Arabidopsis thaliana: one gene and its partner. The protein of the gene in region 2 purifies or fractionates together with the protein of the main gene of each other region. This does not show direct contact. Each region holds a gene or a part of one and is shown on either strand. Other genes may lie near its edges. The genes, in order: AT2G24440 and HB25.

Region 1 (12,238 bases), on a different chromosome or scaffold from region 2:
CACAAGTCTCCGATTCTTCTTCTTGGTCCACATCTGTTGCTGACGGAGAAGAAATACAAGGGACAACACTGTATACCTTTTGAGTCAATTTGACAGAGACAATCATGAATAAAGGTTGTTGTTGTGAGTAAAAACTTTGACTTCTTTGTCGTTGGGCTTCGACAATCTTAGAAGATATCTGTTCGGACATGACATGATCGTGGAGTTGGCTTTGGAGACGGTGAAAGACGTCGTTTGGTTTAAAACATGGTAGTTTCAGAGAGATTAGTGGGTCGTGGCAAGAAGAATCAGGGTAAGAACCGAGACTCGTGACACTATCATCTTTCTCTTTAATGAGAAATTCCTCGACTTCTCTATGTAGACTGATTACTACGGTGCTTAAGAACCCTAATGACCGACCTTGAGACCAAGCCTGAACATGAACATCGAGTTTGAATGATTCAGTATCCATTCTCGTAGTGAAAATTAGACAAAAAATCAGAGAGAAAGATGATTCGTAAAAGATTAGATGAGAGAGGAGATTGTAGTGAAATCTGAAATTGTGGAGAAGTGAATGTGTAATGTTATGTTTATATAAGCAAAACTCTGATTATAATTGTTCGAACGCGTTAATTGTAATTTCCTTTCTTTATTCTAACCGTTAATGTAATTTCCTTTTCTCCATATTACCTTGTTTCCTTTTTTTCTTGTTGGTAAAACATCTCGTTATACCAGAGTGCTTAAACCAAACCATTTTTCCTATTGTAATTTGCCGGTTTATATTGTGTTGTTTGATTTTCCTCAAATACTTTAACTAATAACCAAAATATATATATATATATATATATTTTTTTTTGGATAACCCAGGTATCCCAAGCCCAATGGGCCCAGACTAGCCCACTGCGTGCGTCCCGAAGACGGCAAGAGTAGTTCTTCAAATACTTTAACTAATAACCAAAATATATTTTGTTACAATAATAAAGAGATTGTTAGATAAATTGTGATATTTCACAATCTCTTTGATTTTTTTTTTTTTTTTCTGGTTATCATCATGTTGATGTGCTAATTGTGTTATATGTTACTTGGGAGCAACCTAATATTTTATCAAATGCTTTTTAAAGACCTCTATAGTATTCATGTTTTCTCTGACTTAAGCTGGCAAAAACATATTTCAAGTGAAAAGTTGCTTTTCGTGTAGAAAATTGGATTATCCAAAACGCTAATGTGTTCAACATACTTGAAAAGAGTGGTTTATGTGCTGCAATCATCGAAAGTTTTAGGGTCTTATGTAAAACATTTAATCCTATATATCAATTTAAGAGGAGTTTCCAACCAATATAGTTCACCTAAATCCAACTGTAAAATTCGAAACCGAAACTAATCTATATATATATATATACCAAAAAAATGAAGCTAAAACTACCAAAAAGATTGGCCATGGAAGAGCAAGTCTTGGGACAAAGCCACGACTGTGAAACCGGTTGTTGGAAATGAGTCAACTCTTGTTTGTTCTATGTCCTATAGCTTCTCTGGAGAATCAGGATCTCTGCTTTTATATGAGATTAGTAGTCCTAATGTGTCAGTTTTGATAATTTATAAATTTCATTTGTAAGTCTTTTGTGTTTTGATTGTCAGGAGAAGTGTAAGAACACAGACTATGTTCAGATAACTATCGAGTCATACACACGTATGAGTAAAATAGAGGATCAGGCCAAATTATTTGAAGTTGAAGTTAAATCTTAAAGAAAGACTCAATCATGCTTACTCTGAGTTTACGACTAAAGAATGATTCTTTAACATGGAAAAGTCGCTGAAGCAGCTGTTTCAGGTTAGAGCACAAAACCTTTCATAGTTCTTGAGATGTTATGTGAGCAATTCTTGTGTGTTAGTATTAGAAATTTAGAAAATACAGACTGTTTAAAGATGTTTTTGTTACTGATTTGTCTTTTGTTCTTTAGCACTTAAACGTCAACTTGAATCTGTAACACTCTTAAAGCTGCAGATAAGAGTGACCAGAAGCTGCAAGATGTGACTCTTGCTAAGACCACTCACTGGGGAAAGATCAAAGCTATGCTTGAAGAAAAGATCGATGAATTGAGCCAAGGACTTCACCGAGTAGCTTCTGACAATGCAGCACTCACTAGATCGTTGCAAGAACGATCTGAGATGATAGTAAAGATTAGTGAGGAGAGGTCTAAAGCTGAAGCTGATGTGGAAAAGCTGAAAGACTAATCTTCAGTTTGCTGAGAGAGAAATTGAGATCCGCAACAATGAAGAGAAAAACATGAGTTTGAAGTCAGCGGAAATCGCAAATAAGCAGCATCTGGAAGGTGTGAAAAAGATTGCAAGACTTGAAAAAGAGTGTCAAAGGCTAAGAAGGCTTCTACAAAAGAAGCTTCATGGTCCTGCTGCTATGTCTCAGATGAAGATAGAAGTTGAAAGCTTAGGGCATGAATTCACAGACCCTCAGGCACATAGGAACATGTCTCAAAATCACAAATTCACAATACACACTTCGCAGAGGCCGATATTTCTGCTGAACATCTCGCTTCCCGTAACAATGAACGCCTGCTTAAGTCTGGTATTAGATTGTTTCCTTGTTTATTTCATCTTTCTAAACGAATACTGTTCTTGGTTCAGATAAAAATTTATGTTGCTTGCCAATCAAGATTTTTGTTAAAAACAAGAAACAAACTTGTAATGTAAGCATTACAATTCGAGAATCTGAATTTTAGTTCTTCAAGTTCACTTGTCTTTTATCTGAATAAAAATTCGATTTTAACATCAATGTTGTGTATCATACAAGTATCAAACTTGTAATGACAATTTTTAAGTGAATTTCAAATTGAGACTCTGAGTTTTATTAAAGTAAACTGCATTGAATGTTGTCAACAAAAAGGTATTGAGATCAATACATAGACAATGAGAAAACCCTAATTAGCATCTTAAACGTCTACGACAGAGATTAAAACTAAACTTAGACTTGCGACACACGAATAAAACCCTAATTAGACTCTTGTTGTTCGTAAACAGGTTCCCCACAGAGAACATGAGTAACGACACAATCTTCATGAAACAGATGCGAGTTCGATTCTTCTACTTTGCTCTCTTAGTCAAATCTGTTGCCAACGGAGAAGCGTTACAAGGCGCGTAGGTGTATAACTTCTGTGTCAATTTGACGGAGACTAGCATGAATAAAGGTTGTTGAAACGGAAACTGATCAATACTTTGAGTTCCTAGTTGGGCTTCGAAAATCTGATCAGCTATTTCTTCGGACAAGACATGATCGTGGAGATGATCTTTGAGTTTGCTACGGAGAGTTAGATAGATGTAGTCTGGTTCGGAGGTTGGGAGTTTCAGAATGATTAGTGACTCGTCGGGAGTAGAAGAATCAGGGTAAGATCCGAGGCTCTTGATGCTATCAACATTCTCGTCATATTCCTCCAGATCTCTGTCAAGAGTGATTATTACCGTGCTTAACAACCCTAACGACGGATCTTGAGACGTAGTCGTTACTTGAACATCGAGTTTGATTGATTCAGTTTCCATCGTCGATCGTAGTGAAATTAGACAAAACTCAGAGATAGAGAGAAAAGATTAGTCGTATGGGAGAGGAGATTGTTGTGAAATCTGAAATTGTGGAGAAGTGAAGGTGTAATGTTATGTTTATATAAACAAGAAAACTCTTGAGGATAATTTGTTCTAACGCGTTAATGTAATTTCCTTTTTTTTCTTCCATATTGTCCTTTCTTTCTTATTATCTTCTTAAAAGCATTTTTATTGTTGTATTTCCTTTTTTCTTGTTGGTAAAACATATCTTCAAAAATAAAATAAATAAAATAAAACATCCTATGACCCTGTCACAACTTCCTGATTCTAGCTTCGGACCTCAAGTTGTTGAAGAATTGACTTAATAAAGATTAGGATGGACTTGTCTACGTTGGCTCTGTATCAATAACGCAAACCTCAGAACCAAAGGTAAAAATAAAACAGTCTAAAGCCAAATATAGAGGTAACAATAAAGTCATGTTCAAATTTAGCCAAAACAAATATAAGTAAATGTCTCTCCACCATTAATCTTGAGCTCCTCTTAAGGTCTGTATATATACCCAACCTGATCCTCTTATTGCAAACTCAGGCTTTGAGGTTTGAGCTTTTACTATAGAATAATAAGGGTAATAAACAAAGACACCCAAAGATGGGTCTCAAGGTCTCCTCTTCTCTCCTCTGTCTCACCATCTTACTCGCTGTTTCATCCATTGTATCAGCGGTTAACATAACCCGAGTGCTCGAGAAATACCCTGAATTCAGCACCATGACCGAGCTTCTTGCCAAGACCGAGCTCACACCAATTATCAACAAACGTCAGACCATCACCGTGCTGGCCCTTAACAACGATGCTATCGGTTCCATCTCTGGTAGACCCGAGGAAGAGGTCAAGAACATTCTTATGAACCATGTGGTTCTTGACTACTTTGATGAGCTTAAGCTCAAGGCTCTCAAGGAAAAGAGCACATTGCTCACTACCCTTTACCAGTCCACCGGTTTGGGCCAACAGCAAAACGGTTTCCTCAACTGCACCAAATCTAACGGAAAGATTTACTTTGGTTCTGGTGTGAAAGGCGCTCCTCAAACCGCTGAATACATCACAACCGTTTTCCGTAACCCGTACAATCTCTCTGTGGTCCAGATCAGCATGCCCATTGTGGCACCTGGACTCGGGTCTCCGGTTAAGGTTCCTCCACCACCACCCATGTCTTCACCACCGGCCCCATCTCCCAAGAAGGGTGCAGCCACTCCAGCTCCAGCTCCTGCTGATGAAGGGGATTATGCAGATGCTCCTCCTGGTTTAGCTCCAGAAACCGCACCTGCATCTGCACCATCAGAAAGTGATTCTCCAGCTCCAGCTCCAGATAAGTCTGGCAAGAAGAAGATGGCAGCAGCTGATGAGGCTGAACCACCTTCTTCTGCTTCTAACACCGGTTTGAGCTTCGGTGCTGTCCTTGTTCTCGGGTTTGTGGCTAGCTTTGTTGGGTTCTAAGATGATTTAAGACAGCGAGTCGAGGATAAATTAAACTGATAATGAGACTCGAACATAGACAGAGGCAATGGTGATACGAAGTGGATCAAAGACACTAACAATTTCTACTCACATTATTGTACCTCAATCATTTATCATTAGACAATGAAAGTGTGATGTTCTGTCCTGTGAAGCTTGTATTACCACATTGTAACTAAATGTTTTATCTTCATTCATCCAATCCGTAACGTAATTGAACGCCAAACACAATCCAACAATAAATGAAACGAAACGAATTGCTTCAAACTAGCATTACGAAGACAGACTTAATCCCATATATATCAGGAAGTTTTAGCATAAAGAAACTGCACAAAGCCGATCAAGCACTACCAAACGACGAAACCGTGCTCAAATGGTTTTCACCAATATATCAAAATTAAGCCTAAAAAATCCTGCAGTTGCTCTAGATAGTCAGATATTGAAGCCTATTAGCCGAGGGCCAAGGAGGAAACGAAAGACTCGGCATTGGTAGAACCTACTAGCTGTGTTACTTAATCTTCTCTACGATGTCCGCAATGACCTCTTCCATGTTAAGTTCCTTCATCGGTGTAAATGGGCGCTTCATAGCCTACATAAGAAAATCACATCATCTTCTATATACATCTGAGAATAAAGAACATGAAAGCAAACATTTTCTTATTGTACACCTAGTCACTAACAATCAGATCTGCTAGTTTGTTCTTATTTCAAACAACTTAGCACTCAACTTGATTCAGTTAAAAAGCAAACAACCAAAGGCCATTTTATGAATGCTCTAACAAAACCTCATTGGTGATCAGTTGACTCAGCAAAAATAGCCTCAATTTCGTGTGAGCTTAAGAAAATAAAGTTGATTTTCACTTTTTAAAGTATACCATCAAAGAAACTATGTTATGCGAATAGATACAGACACGACGAGAAACATCAATCCAACTGGAACAAGTCACTCACATAAGTGCGACTAACTGGCATACTACATTCAAGTATGAGAGTGAAAAACTTACCAAAAGACTGATGAATGTCTCGCCGCCTTCCTCTCGAATCTCAAAGCAACCACGCCTTGGCTGTTAAAGCAGATCAAAAAGGAAAGAATTAGCTTATTAATGCACACATTGGTACAAACAATCATAAACAACAAGCATCAATGACAAATATATACATCTGCAGCAAAAGATTCACTACCTTATCAGGATTCACAGTGACAATGATGCCAGGAACAGCTTCCTCTAGACCTTCCTTCACCTCATTAGCCCTCTCCTTGAATGATTTGCATTGTTTGCTTCAGGAAAACAACAACAAACAAACATCAGCAACATAACGAAACCTAACATCAATCAAAACCACACTAAGAAACATAACCAAATACGATAATAGATCACATTTCAACCTAAGCAACGAAATTGAATCAATTATATAGGCGAATGACACATTGTGTACAAAACCAAAGATTAGCTTCAATATCGGAGAACAAAATCCCTAAATACTCGCTACTACATTTTCCCCCAATTTTCTCCAGAAACTCTAAAAGAAAAAAACCAAAGCCGAGAGAGACATTTCGTTTACCAATGCTCGATCACAATCTTCTTCTTATCGGAGTCGTCATCTTCTTCTTTCTCTGCAGCATCATCATCTTCCTCCTCCTCTTTCTCGATTTTCACAGCTACCTCTTCTTTCTTTACCTTCTTCTTCGCAGCTCCAACATTCTTCGCTTTCGTCGTCTTCCGTTTCTTCTTCTCCGGAGATTCGATCTTCATGAGCTTAGAAGAAGAACCATCTCGCTTAGTATCGCTTCGAGTCTTTCGATCCATGCTTCGAAGCATCCTCGTATTCGCTATAGCTTTCCCTTTTCCTTCTCCGTCAACCTTCTTACTCGCCATTTGTACGGAACTAAAGCTCTGTCAACCTCCGCACCAAATGGGCTCTCTGTCTCTCTCTAGATATTTCACTTTTTTTATATTTTTACTTTTACTTTAGTTAAAAAGACGTTAGAAGGTTAAAAGTTACCTTGGAAGGACACGTCATCAAATTTTTAATGGACAGTCAAGATTAACTGATGAATAATAAAGACACTGACACTGTTCGATTATGGTCGCTGTGATAATAAAAGGCGTGTGTTTAAGTGATCATCAGTATAACACATCGTGACGTTTTATTTCTAAAGATTAGCACAACATGCTGTTTGGGTCAATCAATGGAAAGAAAACGTTGCAGAAGTTGCTGATTAATCAGTGGAAAGAAAACGTTTCAGGATTAGTAAAACATACTTAAAAGAAGATAGTTAATGATTATGAAAAGACCTTAAACAAGCCAAGAGTAGTCCAAGACTACTTGGAAATTGGAACATAGGGAGTATTCGAAGAGTCAAAACATAAAATAGCCAAATAGGTTAAAAACAAAATTTAGCTAAGAAATGGAATCTGTCATTAGTTAACCACCTAAGTCGATATATACTATACTGTTGGGATTGGACTACTAGGTACGTGTCCATCTCGAAAGATTGTTGCTTGCAAATTTGTGCAAAGATTTATTAAATTTAGATAAAGACAAATTACAAATCAAAATCAAAGACTTTTATTGATTATCGTACGGTAAAAATACCAGAATTATATTTGAAGTGTGTTACAAGTAGCATACCAAGCATGAATTCCGCATCAAATCAATACTTTCTTCCATGAATGTGTCATTTTCTCGATTAAGTAGATATGTTTATATCAACTTGTAATTTACTAGTGATTTATGAGTTACCGATATTTCATATACATGTTGATGTAAATGTCGACATGTATATGAAATATTGGTAACTCGGGTAGTATATAATCACATGTAGAGCTAAATTGTGGTGAGTGGGTTAATTGACTCCATGCTATTTTTTTTTAATTTATTTATAACCTTAAATAACATAAAATAAAAAAAAATTTGGGGTCAAATGACCCACTCACCACCACAAAGTTATATGAGATTGTTTTAAGATTATAAAAATATGCTACAACTCCATACAAACGAAAAATTCAAAACTACAATTGAAGTAAAATATAGTGGGATGATACTTTCTTAAACTTATATTGGGAGCATTTTTGTGTTGTAAAATTACAATCTTTTTGGACTAAATAACTGATTCATGCTCTTTTTTCTGAAAATCAAAATGATGGAGAAAGAAATTAAAGTGCACAAAATTTTATGAAATTAAATAAAAGTGCATAATAAGTAGATATATATCGATATAAAGTATACGTACACGATAAAGTAACTTTGGGATATTGATGAATGTCCATGCATATAGTGAACATTCACACAAATCGGTTAATGTTCATATTCACACAAATCGGTTAATGTTCACATTCACACATCGGTCATCGGTGGATCATGTTGTAAGAAGTTTGTAGGTGTTACCAAAACAAATATGTATTAAAATTAATCAAACTACGTCTACGTCACTGTAAGAAGTTTTGTAGATCTGTCATGCAATCTTCATAATGACTAAATTAAGATGTATTAACACTAAAAAGGTTATGTATCACTTAGATAAAATAAAAAAGTATATTGGAAATAAAAGAAGAAAAAATTGAAGCTGCTATATGATGCAAAAATAAACCCAATTAATCAACAATCATAGTAAAAAAAAAGAAGGTCGTTTTCATATAAAATGAGATTTTCAAAATTTTAAAGGCTCTCGAGTGAATATTTTCTATTAACATGCATGGTTCGGATTTTTCTAAAACTAGATCATTCAAATTTGCTTTAGATTAGTGAGAATGTTTGCCCAATCATATACGCGAAAGATAATATGATGAGATAAATGTGTCGTAATTTCTTGTACGGGTGAGCATATCCTAACATTTGAAAAAGTTGAACTGTAAACAGATTATAACAATCTTTTACATATTTTGTTAATAAAAAATGGTTATCTACGTAATAATGGTAGCTTCGTAGGAAACATTAGAGGTAAAATGAACAAAGAACGGTAGGTTCTAATGATCGGGACATTCGTCGTTGATTAAAGACGCATTTCATTTTCTTACTTGAAGTGTTTGATAAGTTAAACCTACTACATTTTCTGGAAGACTACGAAATATAAGAATATGTGGGAAGATATACTATAATATATCTTCTCATGGTATAATTGGCATGACTTTTTTTCAAAATTGGCATGTTTCATTTGGTAATAAAATAAAATGTTATCGTATTTCAAAGAAAATTTGAGCAACAATATAGTTTATACAATGGTACTTCTTATAGTGATAATTGCGATAACTGTTGATTCAAATTCTTTATTTTATTAATATTAAATATCTAGTAAGCCCTATTGTTCAATTATTCCATGTACTTTTGACGATGTATAGTCGGAGTCTAAGCTAGTTTTTTTCTTCTAATTATGAGAATATGAATCTAAATCTTTCTAAGTTATGTTGTTGTTTTGTTTCAAGTTATTTCTATCCTACCACTAGTCAGTCAAACCGGAATTTCAAAACTTCAAAGTTAAATGTTAGGTTTCCATTGATTAATTACTCTATACACCTTTTTTTTGTCGGGCAAAATCAATATATTAGGACAAGACGTCGGAAAAAGTTTGGAAGAAAACCAACAATGTGTCCGCAATATTTGGACCGTAAAGAATGATTATATATTACGTTTATACAAAATGATCTTGAAGTGAGGGTACCTAAAATGCTAGGTTGATTTCCAAATATGTATTTGTGTTGGAGCGAATTAATCAGCGGGTTGTTGAATGATCACATGAAATCCTTAAGATAATTGAAGGAGACTCAAATTACACACACGCAAACTCATCCATATCTGATCTTAGATATATTATATATGGAACTAACATTGGTCATTTTGCGGTCTTGAGCGGAAGAGATGACTCAATACTTAGTACTTTTCTAAGAAGATTGAACTCAAAACAGCCTCAACGAGCTAAATTATTTTTGTGTGAAGATAGAACTCAAAATTACATCCACAGAACTGCAATCTATTTATATGCGAAGAGATAACGCAACATTTAATTTTAGCAAGCTAAAATTCACTTTCCAATTAAACGTAAACTCAACACTTACTTTCAACAAACTGATATATCTACTTGAAAAGAAAACTCAACGCTTGCACTCAGCGAGCATAACTTCTCTTCTTCTTCTTCTTTTTTCTTGTCGAGGTAACAAAAATGTCACAAGTTTTGTTGAGGAGAAGAGTTTACAGTCACATCGGGAGTTTTTTTTTCCCATTAAATCTCTTTTCTTTGGAGGTCTTTAATTTGATTCTCAACAGATACGTGATCAAGTTGTGAATAATCAATTTTTTTGTGAATATATACCAACTCGAATAAAATAAAAACATAAATGGACAAAATAAAAAAAAGTCAAAAAATAAAATTGTCATTAATTATTATGTGTCCTTTTTTGGTAATTTATTTTTGGGAAAACAGTAAATATTTTATTGTGTTTAATTATATAGAAGAATAGCTAATATTTGGAACAAAATTGTTCACGTGGAAAAGACAGTGAGAAAACTTGGATCCATCCATAGTCCATATATATGGGTAGTCTTCCTTCTTTCTTTATTTGATGTGTTATTCATGACCATTTTATATTTGAATTAAATCATATAAACCATTTGATTCTTTGACCATCGACCATTGACCCCTAAACCAAACATATGATTTTTTTTGGGAGTCGTAATTAGCAACAAAACGGACCGGCTCGTGCGTGATCCGACACCAACACCAACATAAGGTTTTTTTTTTTCCGTTCTTAACACCAACATAGTTCATTCATATATATAGGGAATATACACATGTGGGTGTGTGTATAAGTATATCTGTATATATGTATAAGCTAAGATGAATTAATAAGGGTCCTAAAAGGAGAATTTCTTGACCAACTACACAAAATAAACAAAGGATAAAATTTGGACGTGTGAGGTTTAGCTGCATGTACCTTGTACTTGAAGACCCTTATTAGGTGAGAGCTTCATGCACACACTCTCTTCCACATTTTCCTCCCTTTTCTACATAATAATTTCTACCCCATACAATAGTAATGTTATTTAATTATTTATAAACAATCACATAAACACTGAAATGTAAATTATATTCTTACAGCGTCTTATTGAAAATTCTATGTCTTTCAAACTTAGATGGTAATTGGGTTTTCTAAATATGCTAACAAAACTTAGAATTGATAAATATGTGTATGTATTTATAAATTAATCAAAACCGTGTTAGCGTAATTGTTTTTTAATCCCATTCACGATAAAGTAAGAAGAAAAAAACCCTACTCTTTGTCGTCTTCCTTCATCTTTTTCCTCCTAAGAATAGTCGCAAGTCATCCTTGTCTCATGATATATAAATACCATCAAAACCCTAATCTCATAAAAGTTTTAGTTGTCTGGTTTTTCCTCATCTATACAAGTAAGCCCAATTTCTCACCCTATACATATCATACATATATATCGATCTTTTACTATTCTCTCTTCTTTCGAATTCCTCCTTTAATACCTTTGTCTTATGGATAAACAGTTGTAGAACGCTAGGATCTATGTGAAACTTAGACTTGTTACTATGTGTTTTAAGCAGGTATAAAAAGGTTCTTGGATTTGGAGTAAACTAAAGATCATATAAAATGGAACAAGGAGATCATCAGCAGCATAAGAAAGAAGAAGAAGCTTTGCCACCGGGTTTCAGATTTCATCCGACGGATGAGGAGCTAATCTCATATTACTTGGTTAATAAGATTGCCGATCAAAACTTCACCGGGAAAGCAATCGCTGACGTTGATCTTAACAAGTCCGAGCCATGGGAGCTTCCTGGTACGTTAATTTATCTTAAGTCTCTTATTCGTAGACACACACAAATTAAAAGATCACATGTATGAATAAACATATTTTTTTTCCTATGTCGATACATGTATATATAATATATATATATATTGATATATATCTTTGATTTCTTTAAAATTTGGTAAGACCTATATTATTTGGATTTAAAGATATCCAAAGGAATATGTGTCTTTATATATGCATATTGCTTATTGCTTTGGATATCTTTACACATATACAACTAATACACACATGAGTAACATGACTTAAATGAACCATATATATGTGTTTGTGTGTGTGCGCATGGATGTGTATATGGATATACTACTTGTACACACATAACACATAAATGTGTGTGTATTTAAACGGAAAACATAGTGTTCATGTTAA
Region 2 (10,616 bases):
TCAACAAAACTCCAAAATCCCAATATTTTATTGAAAACTTTTTAACAAAAAATAAATAAAATGATTGGACTCCAGGTCCACTAAACCTCTAGGATCTGTAACTATGAAGAAAATGGGCCAATGCTATATTCATTAAATTTAATCATTTGGGTCTACCATTGTCGCATGGCATACTAGCAATTTGATGATCCTGAAATAAAATAATTGTGCGTGGAGATAATTTATGAAGATTTCCCCTTTTTGTATCATTTTTTAAATAGACATTTTTAATCTGAAAAGGTTAAAAAAAAGTCTCTATACATCATTAAACAAGTCGGTCTAATCTTGTGAAATAGTTGTGTAAGAAAAAAACTTAAATTATGTATTAACAAATGCTAGTTGGTATATATTTTCTTTAAAATAATTACAATTTTAACTCATAACATTTGTTGTATTCAGTTATTTTCTATATGTCTCAATAATCAATAAAATAAATAATGTTAGTAATAACCATCATGTAATTGGTGAATGTGAAAGATCATCTGTCATTGAAAACTTTGTGAATATGATTTTATCACTGCATATACTAGACTTTTAAATTTATTTAGCTTTTCACTAATTATATTAATGGTGTTCAATTTTAGGATCCTAGACACAGTCAAAATTAATCTTCACGGAATGATATATATATATATATATATACGTACATAATTATATGTCTGTGTACGATTGTGTGAAAATTTTGAAATGAAGAAACTATTTGGAGTTGGACAGAGGACTAAGTGAAGACAACAATACAAAACAAATAAACTTTTATAATTCTTTCATTGGGCTTTGTCATAATGAGTCGTCACAGTCATTCAACTGTCCAAATTATATATTTTTTATTTTCCCTGAAATAAAAGTTGCTAAAAGTTATAGCTTCTAAACTTTTCTCAACCTTTGCCTTTTCTTTTACATATGAACTAAAGAGAAAATACTTTTCCTTTTTTTCCCAACTATTAATTTGTATTAGATTAGCAAATTCAACTAAGATGGTACAAACCATCCCACTAGACCCAAATACAAATCTAAAATATTTTTCCTTTCGTATAAAGAAAAACAAATTACGTATTTAAGAATTCCATACAATCGTAAAATTCTTTGAATCATGGTACGACATGACTAATTAACTACATATCTAAGAATAAGTAAAAATTGAAATGTAAAGCAGGAAAGAAAAAAAAAATTATTCATTGCACGTGAATCATCATCAGTTTCCCAAATTAGGGCAATGTTTATGAAGCTAAGAGTATGCCCATATCATATAGTTTAAAGAAATATAAAACCCTAACCCTAGCTTGTCCTACTAACCCTAGCTTGTCCTACATTTAAATTTACGCAATCAAAATAAAGCTTTTTACTTTTTCATATTAAAAAACTACTTGTTTCGAAACTTAGCTTGAAAGGGAGGTAATAAACCCTGCTTGCGGGTCACATTTAGATTCCCTAAATGAAGCATAACGACAGTAACAATTCCACAGTAAAAACACTGTGAGAATGATGATGATGGTGATGATAATGATGATGATGATGATATAAACGTATACACTCATATAATATATGTATGGTACATAATATACACATTGATGGGTCGTTGTCCGATGGGTTTCTGCGTATTGACTGAAAGATTCCATGAAGAGGACCACAGTAAAATTAAAAAATCATGTTTAAATAAATAGTATTATTATCTGATCAAAATATTATGCTCCTCAATAATTTCAATTTCACCATACATCCAAAAACAACCCTAAAATTCATTTACTTAACTACTTTTCTTTTTTTGATAAATTAACTTAACTACTTTAATTTTCACTACTTTCTATGAACATTTATTACAAGTTCAGACTCCAACGTATGGTACGAACATTTCTCATTACTGCATCAGCGAGTAAACATTTCTCCCCTCTGAATAAAGTCTATAATCATAATATTTATACATGTCCTCATCATTATTTCTCTTATAACTCGATTTATGAAGCAATGTAGACGAAATTAAAATTTCTAGCAACTAAAAGTTATACGTAAAATTACGATCTAACTTAGCCAAGATTTGTATTAAAGTTCAACTGAATTATTGAATTTTCTAACGAATTAGATATTGTTCGGTTGAGCTAACTGCGTTTTATTTGCGAAGTAACTGAAACTTTGGTCCATGCAACTATAATCATTATTTTCAAACAAGTGTTGATCGAAGTTTAAATTCGATCCGATTCATTAGCCATATCAATGAACTAATTGAGGTAAACGCGTTTGAAATTTGTGAAAACTAAATTTTGGACCAAAAAAGAAAGAAGGGAGAAAATGAAAGAGGACCACAACAAAGTCATCTTCACTCTAGGAGTGTGCAGCTTTAGCTTGGACAAGAATGCGTAGAGATTGCCTTATCAAGCAAAAGCATCTCTCTCAAGTCTCTTCATTTGTGTGTATATTTGTCTCTCTCTCACTCTCTTTCGAGTTTTACTGCACTGTCTGAGGGAGAGAGAAAAAGAGAGAGATGATGGAGAGGTTGAGACATGAAAAGCTATATATGGAAATGGCCGTGAGATGGGGACTCGAATCTTATCTGCCTCTTCTTTCCTTTTACAATCATTTTGGTTCCCTCTTTCCTCTGCATCTTTGCATTTCACCATCACTCAAAACCCTAATTTCATCTGAATTCATTATCTTTGTTTCTCTCAGGTATACGATGTAAGATAGAGAGATATAATGTATGTTCATATGTACACATACCTTAGTCAATAAATTTTTCACAAACACACTTTGCATAAAATAAATTACTAGGCCGAACCACTTTTGTTAATTATAATTACTGTAACTCGTTGAAATTGATATTGTTATTACTACTAAATGATTATGGAACCAATTGAATATGTTTTTGCTCGATTAAATTGAATGTTTACTACTCAAATTAAATTATCATTAGAGGTGAAATAAGTGAATGAGTGATCTTAAGAAAAAGTAAACAAAATTAGTTCCAGATGAAAGTCTAGGGATTTGGAAGAAGAACATCATTAATGCAGTAATGTATGTGTGCCCATATGTTTTCCTATCTTCTCCTTCTTGCTTCCAAAGAAGCCCACATGTTTCCTTCTTCCCCAGATCTTCAAAGAACAATATACATATACATATAATATAAGACATAAAGAGGATATAAGAAGCTTTGGATGCATCGACATGTTTTGAGTTTAATTTTTTTTTTTTTTTTTAAGTGAAGAATTAATTCCCAGGAATCAGAATACTGTTGCCGCAGCTAGCTGATGTTATTTCACCTTTTTCATTTCCAATGGAAAAAAAAAATTATTTAATTCACGCATATATGATAATAATATAAGCCATTGAAATACTTATTTAATTCTTAGGGCAGAGATCTCCATCCCAAGGAAATTCCGACCGATCCACATTTGAGTCCTACACTCATTGGACAATTAAATGACAAGTATATATATATATATAGAATCCCACATAAGATATAATTATGACAATAACCAATTTATCATTAGATATGTGTGGTAAAAAATGATCAAGAAAATATATAAACACTCAAAAACCTAGAACTTAAGAAACAAGAACACTATCAGATCTAGCTAGCTACAAATGTGTGTGTGGGTGAAAATAATGGTCAGTCAAATATAATAACACACAAAAACACCAGGAACTTAAGAAACAATATATAACAATGTCAACAAGTAAAAGCTTAGGCTGCACAAAATAAAATAAAAATGAAATCATATGCTAAAGAAGACATAAATAATGCATACACAAAATACATGTACATATATATTCAGGATCAAGTTCATATAGATTCATACACAAAACATGATAAATTCAAACACTGACAAATGTGATGCAAATAAGGACGTCAGTAATTTATAGTCAGACCAATCAAAGATTTTGCTAAGAGACTTAAAAAGCTACTAATGCAAAACATAATTAACCAGAAATTAAAGATCATCACCAACATCATCAACATCATCATCAAAGAGGAAAATGGGTACATAAATTAAACAATAAAAACCTTGTCTCTCAAATTTCTCAAGTAATTAATTAAGCTAAATTAAAACCCTAGTGATCAAAGAAATTCAAGATTCATGGTTGGTCTTGTTCATGATGAAACGAAGACTGTGGTGGTGGAGGAGGAGGAGCCTGATGATGATGAAGTGGTGAAGGCGACTTACCAAGAGTGTGTTTGTTGTTATGTAACCAAACCTTAAGAACTTGTCTCGGAACACCAGTCTCCTGACAAAATCTCTGAATCACTTCATCGTCTTGTCTCTGAATTCTCCATCCAATCCTCTCAGCTAAAGCTAACATCCTTTCCTTTTGCTCAGCCGTAAACTTAGTCCTATGCCTCTTCCTAATCCCTCCTCCTGCTTCAGCTGAAGACGTCTCCATTGGATCTTCTGATCTCTCTCTTTGTGGAGGGGGAAGAGCGAGCTGAAGAGGAGGAGCTTGTGACGGTGGTGGTCGGTAGCTAACCGGAGCTGGAAGACGGTAAAACCCTGGCGGGGGAGGAGGAGGCTGATGTTGTGGCGGCGCGTGATGGAAGTAAGGTAATTCCTTGCGGTGGAAGTTACGGTGACAGCCACAAGCGGCGCATTTTAGAGCGTCGATGGTACCTTCGATTCCAGCTGGCATAAACTCACCACAACCATCGACCGCGTGTCCTCCTATGTTCACCGCTTGGTTCTTGAGACACTCACGGAACCTAAACCTGCTCCCTCCACCGCCGTGAACAACCATGAATCCTCCGCCACCGCCTGTGGAAGTAGTTCCGGTGGTTTCATGACTTTCTGTCGAGGCTTTGGGGAGAACACGAGAGAGAGGAGGAGAGTCGTAAACGGCGTCGTCGTCTTCTTCTTCCTCATGAAGATTCATATCCTCTTCTTGCTCTTCGTCGTTGTTGTTGTTGTTGTCTTCAAACTCCATTCAAGAAGTCGAGAAATGTGAAACTACGTCGTTTTTGGGGAGAGGAGGTTTCTCAAGAAGGTGAAGAAGAAGAGAGAGATAATGTGGACATTAAAGAGATTATCTTTCTCTCTTTTATCTCTCTCTTTTGGATTTGCCGATTTGAGAAGTGTTTTTATTTTATTTTTATCTTTTATTTTTGCTATATAATTTCTTGTTTATTGGAAATCGGAATCTAATATAATCTGTCCTCAACCACACTTTGTAACGCTTTCTTTATCTTTTGCATTATTTCTTTCTTTCTTTCTAATTTTACTTGAAGAGCTATTATACTTTCTTATTAATTATATATTCCTATTATTTTATTCAATTTGGTCGTATCGCTCTGACCATGCATGATTTGTTTTAGTCAACTATTCTTGTATTAGATCACAAATTTTAACCATGTTTATGATATAAAAAGACACGTTAAAAAGAAATTGATTTGAGTTCGTGTTTACTTGATTCCATTTACTGTTTATTTTTTCCTGGGTTATTACTTAAAGTTGTAAAGATTGTTACCTACATGTGAAAATTGAACGAAATATTACTAATTTTCTTCTAAAAATGACACACTAAAAACTTATTTATGTAATCTTGAATTAAAATGATATAATTAAACATGTTTGTCTTCTTCAGGAGTAGTTCTAGGGCTCATCTTAAAACACACTAGGTAGCTTATGGGTTTTACAAGTTTTCCATAAGCTTTTGTTATTTTTGGACAATACAACAATACAAAAAGCTTAGTGTAGGATTAAAAAACAAAAAGAGAGAGGAGATGATATTAGAGATAACTTTTTGGGAAACTAAAAAAAAAGGGGATAGAATCAAAATAAACGCGATAATTATTTTTGTCCATATGCCAATAGCATAAATATATGCATTAATATTTTTCTGCAATAAAGTGATGGGCAGTCTAATCACATCAAAATCAGTAATGCCCTTAATAATTTCAAGGTCTGAATTTTGTTGTCAACTTTTCAGAATTATTACTAAATAATTCAGTATAAATATATAAACACTAAAATAAAACTTTATTTAGTTTTATTTTGTGTCATCAAGTAAACAAAAGTTTAATGATACATTAAATACTTGTAGATTAGTTGCAAATGTGAAGACGAAACGTATGAGATGATCATTTCTCAGCCTCTGATTAACTTATGCTGACGTTAGATCTCCGACGACAGTTTTTATCCTTTCACTATGCTTTTACTGTTTTCTTTAAACGACCAGCACTATTATATACTCATATAACTGAGTATTATTTTTTTAACGACTAGTCTCTTCATTAATTCAGTCGAGGGTCATTGGTCTTGTCAACACAAAATTGCATGATGAATTTACGTAAGTTATTTGTGAGAAATATAAAAAATTTGTTGACGTAGCTAATTAAATTTAAAGAAAAAACATACTATGGAGTATTTTCTTTAAAGAAATATTAGCATTGGTATACGAGAATTCGAGAAGGAAACCAACATTCGCTCTCATCAATATTCAAATATTTCCAATCTTATAAAACAATAAAAAGTTGAAAATGAAATAATTTTTCAATAACCAGATTATGATGATTTAAATTAAAATTATACTATAAAAATACAGCTGACCGTTCCTTCAGAATAATAGTATAATAAAATAAAAGTAACATCTGTGTCGCATCAACAATAAATGCGAATGTTTTTGTACGGCTCAAATTTCAAAGCAGAGATTAAGATTTAAGAGTGAATAATGAAAACTCATTTGACATGAACAAAAAAGTGTAATTTTTATGTTACAAGAAAAATAAAGATCTGAAAATATATAAAACACCGACTAAATATTAATAAGAGGAGGAAATGAAGCAAATGGATTCCTGAAAGACGTTTGAGATGACGTGCTTACGTGTTACTTGTCAGCTGGCGGGAAACCGCTTTCCTACGTGGAGACACACAGAGGATTTGTCTCCGTTCATTATTCGTAAATCATCATAACGTTACATTTCTTACTAAACCGAATTTCAAAATTTCTTAATCTCAAAATTAGAAATCATAAATAGGTTACACAAAAACTTAAAGAGACAGAAGTAGTATTATCAAAAGAAACATGTAAAAACTATTCAACAGTTTTATGCCAGACATAATTCATGAGTTAATAGATTTCCTAAGTCAATGATAGGGTCTTTGAAATTCAATTTATTGCATATATCTATACATTAATGTTGATACGGTCATCACAATTCACAACTAGACATTCTCACGAGAAATTATTTTCTACCTCTTATTAAAATAGTGGTTTGGTATATCATGAGAACAGGGAAAACAACACAAAAACTAAACCAAACAACTATTTCAAGATATAAGCAAATTGTTGAAAATAGATTATGATGATGATTTGTTAAAAGTGCATGAAAACTAAACAGTTAAAGCTTTGCAAGCGTGAGAATACTTATGATGGGTATACATATAAGTCTGAAATTACACAACCCATGTCGACGTCTACTGTTTATCATATATTTATTTTGAAATGAGGGGTAATCATATGATCTGTAATTCGATATGTTCAATCAATTATTTCATACAAGAATAAAAAAAGAGTTGAAATTTTGTTTTTTTTTTAAGACTAGAAAGCAACCGACAAGGCTAAGTTAATAGGGTATAAGGGGGTAGATTGAAAAAGAAGTAAAACTTTGTTACAAGTGGAACTCATAGATTATCATGAGATCCATTTGACCATTAATACATCTAAAGGACAATAATTTAACTCACCTTCTTTGATGCCCCCCTCCATATTTTTTGTTCTTCCATCATTTTTTTTTTTTGTTGTTAAATTCTCCTAACATTTTTCCTATAACAAAGAAAAAAGTTTGAATAGAGTTTTTGATATTGGCTGCTCATATATTTAAAGGAAGACAATTGTACCAAACTATTTGACCATCTTTGGCTCTTCTCTATAAACTGTAATTACATGAACGGGCAATCCATATTGGTTGGTAAATTTAATAATTTACGTTTATTGAATTGTCCCTGGATAAAGACTAAACCAGAAGAATAATCACATCTCACAATTTTATAAAATTGCAAGATCATCTAATCTAAAGTAAACCATACTGGAGTAGCTCTCAGTCACATCAAGCTTCTTACAGAACCTGATTCATCAGAAAGCATCTGCCTAATGCTCTGGAAGAAACTCAACATTGTCTCCTCAGCTTTAGTATCTGCAGAAGACAAAGATAAGCTCATTAGAGTAAATTAAGAAGAGACAGATCTTATGTTACTTATTTCAATTGCATATTTCTCCAAAAAAAATCAGAGCTTAAATGATCAGCCTTTCATGCTTACTAACCGAGTTTTGGTATAATGTGTCCACCTGAATGATGGATCACCACTGGCTCTACGAATGATTCTACAAGCACTTCACCTTCTATCTTCAGGAAATCCCTCTCACCTGCAGCAAAACCGATACAGAATTACAAACAAGTTGTCTCTTATGTCATATCAAATGTTGTAGGAGAGAATCTCTAACGTTAACATGTAGTGCTGCAGATTAGATTCTAGTCTAAACACTCCCATGCCAATCTTGGCTACACTAAAGGCACACTACTAACGTAAGCTTCAAACAACAGAAACTTGGCATTACAACATAACCGAGAAATCAAGTCAAGAACATGCGCAACGTAGTAACAGTTTACCTATGAAGTGGAGTGATGGGCAACGAACTGGAGATGAGAATGCATTAACAGCAGCTTTAGGCTCCCCAAACATCAACCCTGGAATTTTCGCTCCAGAAATGATAACTAAAAACTTGACTTTTGGCACCTTAGTTAGAGCCGATCCCTACAAAACAGTTTACAACATCACAGACTTACTCAAACTATTAAAACAACATGTTTCATTCTTCAATTCAGATTCAACCTCTCTGTTGCATATAAATGGTTTCAACATCACACACTTGCTCAAAACAGAACAATAGAAAACTACTCTAACAATAGGTTTCATTCTTCAAAATATCATAAGCAGATTCAATCTCAGAACCAGGATTATGATCAGTTATGCAGTTATGTACCTGTTCTTGCATTCCAGGAATAGCTGCAGTTAGAAAAGCTCCCTGCAAGAATGGATCAAGAATCAACGGTCCACGATCCTCCTGCTGATATATATGAAAGTGATCAGTACTAAAATCTCGCCAAAGAATCAAAACAAACCTGAGAAAAACCAAGAAGACCATCAAAAGGTCCATTCTTTATCATGTAGTCCTCTATATAAGCCAAACACTCTTCAAAATTCCTATATTCCTTAAACCCCTGCAAACACACACACACACAAATCAAATTATGTATACAAACTTAGACCAAATCTCTCTGTTTTCTAGAGAAAAAAAACAACCTTTACTCTGATAGTGTTAACAGTGTCAATGATCAATACTGAATTCAAGGAAATTTAGGATTTTGTTGCAACGAACCTTGTTAGCCTGGTACCACTCGTAATACGGTGGGTCAAAGAAACGCTCGACGTCCGATTTCCCGGTGGCCGGAAAAGGAGCGTCAAGGAAATCGAGGTCGAGATCTCGGAGAATTGTGTCCGGCCATTTACCTATACCGGCTTGGAGAATCCGACCACTAGTTCTGAATCCATGAAGGCATAAAATTCTAGGGTTCTTCGGTTTCAGGTGAATTTCCGGCGCCATCGCCGTCGTTAACCGTAATCCCGTTTGGAAACAAGGATAGGAGTATCCTAACATCTGACAAGCTCTAGCTCTCTTCTCAGGTTTCGAATTGTCCTTGTGCCCTAACATATCGCTTGTCGCGAAAGTTTTGGTAGAAAGGCCCAAAACTCTATAGGCCCATAAAGAAGAATCCTTTGAAATCAGTTTCGCAAATATCGGCCCATATCATTGTTTATCTCTTATTACAAATATTTTCCAAACTTTCAAGAGTTACAATTACAAATAGATCAATATATATATAGACAATGAAAATTATGTATGGAGAAGCTTACTCGAAGAAATGAGAGTTTTCCACTAACAAAAAAAACTTGTATATTCATCATAATCTAACTTTTTTTTAGATAATCCAAATCATGCTTTAAATTATGTAAAGTTCAGTTAGAAGTGAATACATGTTGCTCTAAGAGTTACAACAACATAAAGCCAGCACAAAACTCATGCTTTAGCATTCTCTTCCCCTAAATAAATATATGCTTCTTGGCTATATATATTATTAGACACGCATATGGGACATCATGTTTTTTTTTTTTTTTTTTTTTACAATTATCAAGAAAATGGTTTGGAGTCGAGGTGGTCTTTCGGCAATTTTGACTGCAGCCGAAGCCAAAGATAAAGAAATTTCGACATTAAACCTCAACAGTTTTTTCATATGGATTCAAAGCAAACTACTATGTATAGATTCATTTTTAACACTTAATTCATCCTCTAGGAATCCCACACTGATGTAATCAAATCGTATATATTGCAAATGAACTTTATAGCATATGTAACAAAGCAAGTTATAGTGCATATATAACGAACTTGTCGTTATCATCTGAAACAACCTGTAATGATCTTCTCAATTCTTTATATTGATGTTCACACTAATGAAAATAAAGTTGGATGCAAATATTTTGAACTTTTAGTTAGGGATTAATCAATCGAGTCAGTGCAATAAAAATTGTAGGTATAGT

Evidence for each region.
Region 1: the proteins of HB25 (region 2) and AT2G24440 fractionate together in Arabidopsis thaliana (co-fractionation; one large-scale study listed by BioGRID). This does not show direct contact.

What each region holds. Positions count from the first base shown.
Region 1 is NC_003071.7:10,385,801-10,398,038, reverse strand, and holds AT2G24440 (selenium binding protein), read right to left. Parts: upstream 6,965-12,238; 5' UTR 6,916-6,964; coding exon 6,602-6,915; intron 6,318-6,601; coding exon 6,221-6,317; intron 6,103-6,220; coding exon 6,043-6,102; intron 5,628-6,042; coding exon 5,547-5,627; 3' UTR 5,021-5,546; coding exon of another isoform or gene 4,178-5,020; 3' UTR 4,105-4,177; downstream 1-4,104. Other genes in the region: AT2G24480 (Zinc finger, C3HC4 type (RING finger) family protein), read right to left, coding at 1-451; AT2G24470 (filament-like protein (DUF869)), read left to right, coding at 1,417-1,459, 1,976-2,211; AT2G24460 (C3HC4-type RING finger protein), read right to left, coding at 3,076-3,528; FLA3 (FASCICLIN-like arabinogalactan protein 3 precursor), read left to right, coding at 4,178-5,020; NAC038 (NAC domain containing protein 38), read left to right, coding at 11,653-11,839.
Region 2 is NC_003076.8:26,130,510-26,141,125, reverse strand, and holds HB25 (homeobox protein 25), read right to left. Parts: upstream 5,125-10,616; 5' UTR 4,948-5,124; coding exon 4,108-4,947; 3' UTR 3,572-4,107; downstream 1-3,571. Other genes in the region: AT5G65400 (alpha/beta-Hydrolases superfamily protein), read right to left, coding at 8,064-8,155, 8,284-8,385, 8,630-8,774, 9,004-9,045, 9,143-9,241, 9,400-9,732. UniProt on the Arabidopsis thaliana protein: Putative transcription factor.